Saccharomyces cerevisiae S288C: one gene and its partner. The protein of the gene in region 2 binds, or shares a complex with, the protein of the main gene of each other region. Each region holds a gene or a part of one and is shown on either strand. Other genes may lie near its edges.

Region 1 (3,810 bases), on a different chromosome or scaffold from region 2:
ATCAGCATCCTTTCCAGGGGTTCCCAGGATGGTTGGGGGAGAAGGAAGATTTACCGAACGAACGTAAAATATTAGATACTCAAGTGAAGCATGATATGAAGAAGCAAAACTCGCGTCATTTCTCGCCATCCTTTTCTAACAGAAGGAAGGCTTCTTCAGAAGATCCTATGGGTACACCTTCTTCAAACGGGAACACACCGGAGTACACGCCTGCGAGTAAATCGTTTCAAGATATATACAATAATCATACAAGCTCCTCTAGCGCGACACCGAGAAGAGCTTCATCACGGCCGACTAGACCTTCAGCAGGCCAAGAATTCAGGGCAAGTCTCGGTCGAAGTAAAACGTCGAACAGTTTCAACACCTCCAGCACGCCAACGCCGCCACCAGACGCAAGTAGTGGAGTAATGGCAATGAAGGACAGACTAAAGAGACGCAATAACGATTATGGATTTTAAATAGCACTATACCTTGCTGAAATAAAGCGAAAAGAACATTTAATGAATATATAGGTATCGTATATGTACTGAATAAAGTGTTTGATACAGAATGCAAGGAGATAATATAGTATGGTATATAACCTCGTCCTTATTTTGAATATACATGAAATTACAACGCTTCCCTAGAGACCGAATCAAACGCAGGGATTTTATAGTAAATGATAATCAATCATAAAATTTCTCTCAATGGAATACTAACGACACTACTCTCATCGAATGGGGTATCGCTGTTCTCAAAATTTAGGTAGCTATGATCATGCATAGGTCTTGGTTTGAAGATGACTTTTATCAGGAATAGTATGGCGAAAAGAGTTGCAATCCCGGCAACAATCAAATAAACAATCCCTAATGCCTCGTTTCCAGCACCGATAATACTGTTTGTGGTTAATACAAAAGATTTTGTTCCATAGAAAGATCTTACTGGGTAGTTGAGTTCTATATCAGCAATGTAAATACCCTTACCTAACCCATTGGTCTCATTTTTCATTGCTAGCTTATAGAAGTTGGGCAATGCAGCAGTTCTCATCCATATTTTGAACTGTTCCCAGTTTTGTAGGTCTGGAATGTTATCGTCAGTGTAGCCATTGGGAAATAACTTGGCCCAATTTGGGGGCGGTACGATATCGGATGCATTGTATTCGGTCTTTCCATATCTGTGGCTGTCGGTGTCCCACGCAATACCTTTTGTGGTAAGCAAATAATCTGCAGTATCGTTTACACCAGTAAGTGTTGTGCCGAATGTATCATTGAACATCGAATTTGCTATCAATCCACAGGGGAATATGGTCTTATTTTCTACCGTCCTTAAAGGGTCACAGTTTGGATCCAGATCATTTCCGATCAATGCTTTTCCTTTTAATTGGTCTAGGTCAAGAGATTGCACATATTCTCTATAGTTTTGATTGAAATTTGTTAGGCGGTAATAAACATAAGTAGATTTCTTGATATGATTTGGAACTTCGAACTGTATTCGACAAGTTTGATTGCCTAATTCAGGATCCGTAAGTACCATCCATTGAGGTTGGACTGCGACTTTCTTACTGAAGTGGTAGTCCACGTACTCGGAGGGAATCGTTTCAAAATGCTTCGCCGGTGCCAATGCATCACATTCTGTGTAGTTTACCACTAGTCTTTGGACACTTATCGTGCTGACCACCAGCCCTATACCAATGGGTGCGAAGACGCATGCCATCAAAATAAGCAACGGCAGTACGCTCTGTGGCGACAAGATGGGCTGCCAGGCTTTGAGGCGCTGTTGTCTAAACGATGTGTTTGCCGGTTTCCTGGATTTTTGAGCATTTTGCTTACTAGACAACTGTTTTTTCTCTTTCCACCTTAATATCAGTCCCATATTGCACAAAAAAATCTAAGTTCCAGCACTTTATTCTAGATGTTAACTATTGATTAGATATCTATTTGCTTTTAACTTGTATATTGCGCCATCCTTCTATCGTTTCTTCAACTATCGCGTGAAAAATAGTACGCAAGCAAATCGAAAAAACTACATAGAGTTCATTGAAAAGAAAGGCAATGCTTCATCTGATGTTTACACAGAATGCTAGAAATTGAAACACCGATATATGATTTATTTAAGTTACACACTACTGACTAACTGACAGAGGAAAGAAAATAAAGAAAAAAAAATAGGTAGATAAGGATTTTGAAAAGAAATAGAGTTCGTTAAATGTATGATGAATAAATGAGGGAAAAAATAAGAGTGAAAAAAAAATCAATAAAAAAAAAAAAAATACCGACACTTATACGTCAAAGCCCCCTTTATCTCTTAAAAAAGGTTCGATGACTATTACTCCTCGATCTGTTGGAGTTTGGAGTGTATGCAATTTTCCCATAAGAATTGGTATTACCATAAATCATTGAATTGTTATCCTGTTCCATCAAACTCATTGAATTGAAGTCATGGAATGGATCATCTTCAGAGACTTCATCGTCGTATTCAACTCGTTCTTCAAACATATTTTTCTCTTGCTCATCGAGATGTTTATGGCTGTCTTGACTAGTCTGTCTCTTCTTATTAGATGATAATTTAGCAAAATCATATCCATCCTCAGATAACACTGGTATCAGAGGCGGTTCTTGATTTCTCAGCAAAGACCATTGGACTTTCTTGAAAAAGGGGTGTTTCTTCACGTCGGCAGCGCCCATTTTGCAACCCAGTCTTTTAGATTCATTTTTTGTCAGTAATTTTTTGATCAAATCCTTACAAGTTCTGGAGATTTCATTGTTATTGGGAAAACTGACCTCATTTTTCAAAATATTCGTAAAAGTTTCATTTGTGTTATCGCCTTTGAATGGAGTGAAACCAAATAACATTTCATAGATCAAAATCCCTAGCGTCCACCAATCGACCGCAGCGGTGTGGCCATTACCTCTTATGACTTCAGGGGCAATATATTCTTCAGTTCCGACAAAGGAATTGGTTCTAAACCCATCTGAGCATATTTTGGTATCAACAAGGGTTGATTGAGCGGAACCCTTGACAACAGGAACCTTGGAATCTTTAGCCTGAATAGACAAGTCGAAGTCAGAAAGCATGATATGGCCTGATTGATGCAGCAAAATATTCTCTGGTTTTAAATCTCTATAGATAAAACCCAACAGATGTAAATATTCTAGTGCTGCTGTCACTTCACTGGCATAAAACCTGGCATCGTCTTCACATATACATTTGGTTTTCCTTGTTTGTAAAGCTCTGAAAAACTCCCCGCCCATACAGTATTCCATACAGAGATACAAATAGTCTTCAGATTGGAACGAATGGTATAGTGTGACGATGAAGGGATGATTGCTGGTGGCAAGAATCTCTTGTTCTGTCAGAACACGTTTGATTTTATTTCTTTTTATCATTTCGTCTTTACTCAAGACTTTCAAAGCATACACTCTATTCGTCTTTTTCTCTCTTACTAAGAAAACTTTACCTACATCACCTTGGCCCAGCAATCTTATTTTCTCAAAAGACTGTGGTCCCACCATGATATCTTGAAATTTATTGCTGAAAGATTTAGTTCTCAAACGTCGGGACCTCCTAGGTTCTGGAAAATCAGAAATCTTTGGAGAGGGTTCTTGAGGGAAAAATGAGTTTGGAGGAGGCACTGATTGGCCTGGGATTTTGTCGTTTATATTACTGGACCCTGATGTTTTCCTTGCTGAAGAAGATGTCGGCGATGTGGCAGATGCGAGTTGCAACCCGTTTGGTTCTGAAGCTGCTCTTCTTAAAGGTATTTTTATCCTTGGATGGGTAGCTTTACCATTTTGTTTGGTAGGTGAAAGATTTCTCGTTTTATTGTCGGTT
Region 2 (7,447 bases):
CACAATATTTTTACTGTCATTTTTTTATTATTTTCCAACGTTAGTCAAAGTTGTACTATAAAATAAAACTACAAGGAGCAAGCAAAATTGAAAAAACGCATTTGTATACTAGATGACATTTAGGTCATTCCTTCAGGCTTCCTGGCTATGTTTTATTTTGTTCCACAGTTTACCAGAAGGACATAATGGTATTAGAATTTTAATATATCGAGGAAATTAAATCAGACAGTATAATACTTATAAACATCTTTATTTTCTGATAACTAATCATAGCATTTACGCCATACATTTACTTTTTCTTTTGACACCGAAAGTAATCAAGCCACTTTTATAATTAGAGTTAGTTTATAGATAGTATTTAAAATTTGTGAAGATTTCCCATGCGTTGTGCCTTGCTTTCTCTCAAAATACATCTTGTTAATTTTCTAATGTGTGGATGCCGAAATAATATTCGACTCAACAAATCAAGTAAGTCTTCTAAGCTCGCTACTAATTTCCAATAAAAGGTATATATATAAAAATGTTCTCAATAATGTAATTAAACAAGATCACGAGAATTACTCCAGATCCTTTAGCCTTGCCTGAATAATCTGGTTCACATCTTCATCTTCCACATTCCTCGATGGAAGCTTCAGTTTCTTCGTCAGTTTAGTAGTTATATTGCCGCCAATACTGTCTTTACTGCTTTGTGTTTTCAAGGATGGTCGCTTGATTAACTTGCCACTAGGTAATACCTCGTATCGTTCAGAGCTCTTTTTAGAAGAGTTTCCAAAGAAATTTTTTTTTGAGGAATGGTCTACATTCCCATTTGACATTGAATATATGCTGCTGTTATGAGTTTTTGCACTTGCACGTGAATTAGTTCTTGGCCTTGAAAGAACTTTGTCTGTGTACCTTGTGAAAGTACTGGGATCTTTATCCCACGTCCATCCTTGCCTCATTTCGCTATAGGCTCCTAGTTCCAGCTTCTTTCTGATATCACTTTTTTGTTCCAGCTCAGCAAAAATATCAGAATCTGATGGCCATATCATAACTTTGAATGTTTTGTAAACTATATCTAAAGTGATAGGTAACAGTGCCAACACCAAGCTAGTACACCAGAATGTAATGTCTTTACCAAAATGATTGTAAAAGCCATATGCTACATCATATATTTGGTCAGTATTATTCAAAATAGGAAGGGCACAACACCACACTAACCAACCTCCACAGGATAGAACTACAGAAGTAAAAGCCAGCCAATTCCTATTGTGCATTTCAACAAATTGGGATTTAACGTTAATTAAGGCAACAATGGCTGTGAAATTGATGAGACCTAGAGGATACATAGTGTTATCTGAAAGAGAACTCATACCCCACATTACAACATTTAAAAATGTAATGATAAGAGAATTCGTAGTTGCCAAGATAACCCACTCCATGAATATTAACCAATTAAAACCTTGTGAAAGGCGCCCGTACGAATATAATTCAGGGACTGTTAGTAGAGTCATTGGTTTCAAGTCTTTCTCAAACATACCAATACATAGAACCGGTAGTGATGTGAATAGAGTATTGAACATGGACAATGACCATGGCTCATATAGAGAGGAGCCTGAAAACATTGTATATCTTTGATATATCAACTGCGTAAAGTAAAACGTAATTTCTTTGTAAAACGTGCAAAGCATAAACTTGGAGGTGCGAATATAGTTATAACGCCCATGAACAAATAACAATTTCAAGAGAAACCGAAATTGGCCAATAGAATAATCAGATACTCTAGATGCTTGCAATCCCTCCTTACCGGCTATTCCAACACCTATATCGGCAGATTGTATCATGGCAATATCATTCGCACCATCACCTATTGCCAACGTGACTAAGTTTGGATCGGTATTTCTTATGTTGGAAACCATAAGGGCTTTTTGAGAAGGTGAAGCACGGCAACATATTACCGAGTCTGTTTTAGTGCAAAGCTCAACAAATACAGACATGTATGTAGGATTTCCTTCAAACATGGCCATCGTGGCACCGTCAATTACAACAACGCAGTGTGCTATGTTTCCGGAATCAACTTCTTGAGAAACCGCATTCATCTTTGATATAATATTTTCATCAGTAGTAGTTAAAATGACTACCGTAGAATAATCTTTGATTAACATACACGAATACCCTATATTTATAGCCGTTTCCCTTTTATCCCCTGTTAGCATCCACATTTTTATACCGGCTCTTCTGATCTTTTCTATAGCTTCTGAAACGCCGTCTTGTAACTTGTCTTCGATTGCAGTTACCCCTAACAGATTTAAACCATCCTCGATTTCTGCACCTGCCTCATCGACTTTGATTTTTCTATCAGTAAGGGAGGTTTTGGCTTGGTGATAGCGTTTATTCCAATTTTCATACTGCCCAATATCGATCCATTTGTAAGCATAGACCAGAGTTCTTAAGCCTTCAGTCGAAAACTCATCGATGGCTTGCAAAGTTCTTTCAATAACATACTCTTCATTCAAAATTAACTCATCGCTTCCAATGTGCTCCAAAATTTCTGTATCGTAATCATGCTGTAGTCCTTCTTTTCTTGTGTCTATTGGGACATTGTTGTTCGGAAAATGTGTTCCATCTATCGAAATTCGCGGCCCATATTTTTCTATTTGTTGCTTATGGAGTGACTTCCTGCTTTTATTTACAACGCTGCCAATCTCCTGATCAGATTTCTTGACCGTTTCTAGAAATTGATCAATGGAGTCAATTTGTTTCTCTGGATCACGGGTCCTGCTGTTCTTCATTGAAAGACTTTTTCTCACTGCCTGCAATGATAAACTTGCTCTCGGTACGCTAGACAAAGAATTTCTCAATGAGGTCCTGGCCATAGCCTCTTCATCTACCATTCTTTCCAGAGACTTTCTTTGCTGGAGAACCAGCTCTGCTTCTGCGTCTTTACGTTCTTTGGTACTGGTGCATATGTCTGCCATTTTTTTGGCAGCCAATTCGCGATCATGTAAACGCTCCATAATAACGTTATCAGCACCTTTGCAAATTAAAAGAACTTGATTTGGTTGATTTGGCATACGTACAAGAACAGACATTCTCTTTCTTTGAGAATTGAAGTCAATATAGTTCAAAATTTCATAATTTTCCAATTTTGCTTCACCGTCAAAACCGTCTGGAAAAGTTTTAATGGTCAAAATCTGTGCATTTCTATTCAATACAATATAACCAAGGTCTCTAGCAGCGGTTACTAGTGCTAATTCATCTGGAGATGAAGACTGATACTCTATGGAGTCTTCTCCTATTGATTCGTTATGAGTTTTTTTGGGAAGACAGCTATGACAAAGAGCTAATGATAAGAAGAAAAATTTAGCCTTTTGAGAAAACAGGGCGGTCGGATATCTTTGAATAAACTGAATTAAATCAAACGAACTTTTAATGTTCTCCGAAAATGTCTCGGAGGGTGAAATAACCGAAGCTTGTTTACTTAGATGTGAATTATCTTTCCCAAAAAGTGATCTCATACTGGGACGGCCTGTATAAATTGCTGATGAATTTCCCTTATATTCAATAGAATTCCTAGATTTAGGAAAGTTGTCCAAAGATGGACGATGCCCTTTTTCAATTGGTGCGTCCGAAAATCCTAACCGATCAAGAACATTTTGATCTCCAATGGAAACAACGTCTATACTAGAGCCGTTGTGAGCTTTTGGTGGTAGTCTCAAGGAGTTCGTATTGTCTCTGTTGTCTTCAAAGTTATCCTCAGAATTACCGAGATCTACATTATGCAGCCAAGATGATCCACATAAAGAAAATTTCCGAAATATCATCTTATTATCCGTCAGCGTTCCGGTTTTATCACTAAAAATATAAGATACTTGCCCCAATTCCTCCAGAATGGTGGCAGTTCTCGATTCGCATGGCGTGTTCGTTTCTGCATGGTACATGTCTATGTCCCATTCCATCATTTTACTTTGGACTACCTTGATAATTTCCATTGTTACATATAGGGACAAAGGAATCACAGTGTTATACATGATGATAAAAGACATTATTGTGGGTGCTACGCCAGCATCTGCCTGAAATAGATACCATGCTTTGTTCTGGTCGATATATTTTTTCTTATGCAAAACATGGCCAAGATAAGAAAATAAAGATATTGTGGCAACGACAAACACCATAAACACGATAATCATATTTATCTTCCTTTGTAGCTTAGGGGCTTTCGTTCTTGGGTTTTTTAAAGCATTCATTCTGATTTTTGTTTCCTCACCACTGAAAATGACCATACCAACAACATTTTGAGTATTCCTCAAAATACTACCACGATAAATGACATTATCAGGACCTAGAGGGTATTTCATTATGGTATCATTGCGATGGTTTTTCAATTCAAGATTACCTTCAAAATTATATAAATCAATATTGGGATCTTCCACGGTAACTTGAGCATTAATATTTGCAAGACCTGATGCGGCTTTGGTTAACTTATTTAATTCTGGATGGGGTTGTTTACTTTTCAAATTTGTTTCGCCATCTAAAGCCATCGTTTCAACGAAACATTCGCTATTTTCGCCGTCACATGTCAATAAAAGCAGATCTGCAGGTACCCAATCATCTTGTGTGAGAAGTACGAAGTCTCCAACACGAAGTTTTTCCCACTTCTTTTGATGAATATGAACATTGTATTTATTCTTGAGTAGTTCAAAGTTATTGAAGTGCGTGTCTAAGAAGTGTCCTTGAGAGGAGTTCCGATCATCGTTTAAAGGTGGATTATTTTCAGCAGCGGCCGATTTAGTTAGATATGCAGTGGATGAGACAACACTACTTGGTAGTGTATAAACTTCTTGTGCGTCATTATTTCCATCTTTAACCAACACTCCCACTGGTTTATTGTTCTCTTCCTTATCTAAACGATGTCTCCTGAAATCGTCCCAAGCCTCTCTTGTCATGGATATACCCATAAATACACATAAGGGGATAATAGTTGTATAAGTACCAGTTGTAGACCATCCAGGTATCATTTGTAATACTGCGACAATGAAAAAATAAGTATTGGCTAACTTTGAAAATTGTGCATACAACTGTCTAGGCAAAAAGGAATAGAATGTATATCTTGATGAAGTTATTCGGTTGTCGCAGTAAGGCTTGTTGAACCTTTCGTCTATCAAATGACCATCCCTTTTAGTAGCAGCTTGTTTGTATTCAATTGCATTATGATCTAATATAATCGGAATATGTCTACCGTCTTTCGAATGGAACGTCCTCCTTCGATCTAGGATAGTATCAAGTATTTTAGTGATAATGCTATATGACACATCAGGACTACCATACTCTTCCATTTCATAATCCTCTTCAGCAGCATAATTGCCGCTTGTTTCATCTCTGTCATCTTTATCGTTATTATCGCTACCGGAGAACGTCTTACTCTCATTTATATCTTCTAACTCTATCTCATCATCAGTTCTTCCGCGATATTTATCATACAAATGCTTGTTGAACATCTGCGTTCGTAGTGATGAAGATCTTCTTCTTTGCCCATCAGCTATGCCCATAATATTTTTTTCTTTTTAATAAAGAATGGAATTAAATTATCTACTTCAATTAGGATGTTTATTTGCTGTATGGAAGCTATGTGTATATAACGATAAAGGTCAAATAAAAGAAATAACAAAAAAGAAAAGAGTGAATGAATAGTCCAAAAGCAATGGGGTAATTTGGCACTTGATCTTTTCTCAAGACTTCCTGCAATATTGAATTCTTCTTTGTTAAATATTCGCTTACTTAAAGCACTTGACAGACTGGGGTCGAAAATAACCCGGCTGCGCAGCCCGTCATTTGCTTATTTAGAAAATATGATTAAAGTGTAATTAGTTATTTCAAAGTACATATTAAAATATATTATCATGAATCATTTCCTAGTAATCCTTTTAATTCATACAAAAATGGGATAGTTTCTTCCGAAGATACTTTGCATTTGCTGAGAGGCCTGCTCTCAAGAAAGGCATCGTCTCTTAATGGTTTTTGAAAGCCAAACTTTACGGACATGGAAGCCTGAGCTTTTCTTAGCAATTCAAAGGACTTTGCAGTTCTTAGCCTTTCCCTGCCTTCACGGTTTTCTTGAGCCAATTTCAAAATTCTTTCATCTAACTTGCGTCGTAATTCGTTGTCAGAAAGTTGCTTGAAATCTGGTTTCCTACAACTATCCTTTCCGATAAAATCTACGCGGTGATTTTGGCGTGAACCGGCAGAACATTCCTCCTGACAGTCGTAGTCTTCATATTCCTCTAGTTCGGTGTCGTTTTCAAAAGAGTCATTCACCGATTCAGCAACATCAATGAAGTCAACTTTCCTCTCTAAGCTAAGACCTTGTACTGACGAAGAACGGGGTGACTTTCTGCCTTTGAGGATATCCAGATGGAAACCATGGTTGATTGTATTGGTTGGGGATACCTTTTGTATCCTAGAAATATTGCCACAAATTTTCGAGGTTTTCCAGAAAGTAATGAGCTCCTCCAACTTATCCTCAATGATGTTCCTATCATTCTCTGTTATGCCATTTCGAATGTCAATAGCTAATAGATTGTTCTCGATCATTTTTAAGTAATTAAGTGCCTGAAACAATTTATCATTCTTTGAAAATGAACATACATTTGCTCTTTCACAACCAGTATTAGTTGATGTTTCTTCAGGAAATGCATACAATATTTGCTTATGGTCATTCAAAGACACCAGGACAGTGGAGAGTAGTGAATGTAATCCTCTTAATAGACTAACTATATTTTGGAATGTACCTATTGGATTATATTTTTTTTTGAGTTGCACCCTTGCCATGTAATCTGGAAAGATTTTGTTTAGTGCGTTTCTCATGTTTACATTTGAAAGATTTTCGTTTCCTGTCATATCTAAAGACAGCAAACAACAGAGCATAAATTTCTTTAGCAGTTTGAGACGATAAAGCTTACCATCAAGGTCTTTTACTGTGGTAGTATTATTATAGTAAAGATTTGGTACATCGATACCGTATAATTCACAGTATTTCGATAGCTCACTTGTATCGCTAAAGATGACAATATCTGGAATGATTGATTTGAGTTTATAAAACAGTGCATCACTTGAGAATACTAGGAGCTCTTTTATCACAGATGAGTGCTCGTCAGCAATTGAAATAAGAGACACTCTTGATATAAAACTATGATTTTTTATTTCTTTAAATCGAAGATGATATTTATGAATCATTACATCCACTTGTTGTAATGATTCGAGCACTTTCCGTACCTTTAATAAGGTTTTATAGCAAATCAAATGTCTTCGAAAGTATTCTTGCTGAATTGATAAATACACTGCTACGAGTATTAAAATTACAACTCTCTTCAGACCTGGACTATTTTTTTTTCTACAGTATTTTTTCAACTGTGTAAGTACTCGATAAGAGGTTATAATCATCGAAAGGTAGTTGAAATTTTGTCTGAAA

The links. Proteins that work in one complex are often made in the same cells at the same time.
Region 1: DNF3 (region 2) and YNR048W share a complex: the UniProt entries of both Saccharomyces cerevisiae proteins name them as parts of the flippase complex.

The regions. Positions count from the first base shown.
Region 1 is NC_001146.8:709,671-713,480, reverse strand, and holds YNR048W (putative aminophospholipid translocase regulatory protein), read right to left. Parts: upstream 1,852-3,810; coding exon 670-1,851; downstream 1-669. Other genes in the region: MSO1 (Mso1p), read left to right, coding at 1-458; serine/threonine protein kinase FPK1, read right to left, coding at 2,277-3,810. UniProt on the Saccharomyces cerevisiae protein: Accessory component of a P4-ATPase flippase complex which catalyzes the hydrolysis of ATP coupled to the transport of phosphatidylcholine and small amounts of phosphatidylethanolamine from the lumen to the cytosolic leaflet of the trans-Golgi network and ensures the maintenance of asymmetric distribution of phospholipids.
Region 2 is NC_001145.3:578,394-585,840, forward strand, and holds DNF3 (aminophospholipid-translocating P4-type ATPase DNF3), read right to left. Parts: upstream 5,529-7,447; coding exon 558-5,528; downstream 1-557. Other genes in the region: INP2 (Inp2p), read right to left, coding at 5,878-7,447. UniProt on the Saccharomyces cerevisiae protein: Catalytic component of a P4-ATPase flippase complex which catalyzes the hydrolysis of ATP coupled to the transport of phosphatidylcholine and small amounts of phosphatidylethanolamine from the lumen to the cytosolic leaflet of the trans-Golgi network and ensures the maintenance of asymmetric distribution of phospholipids.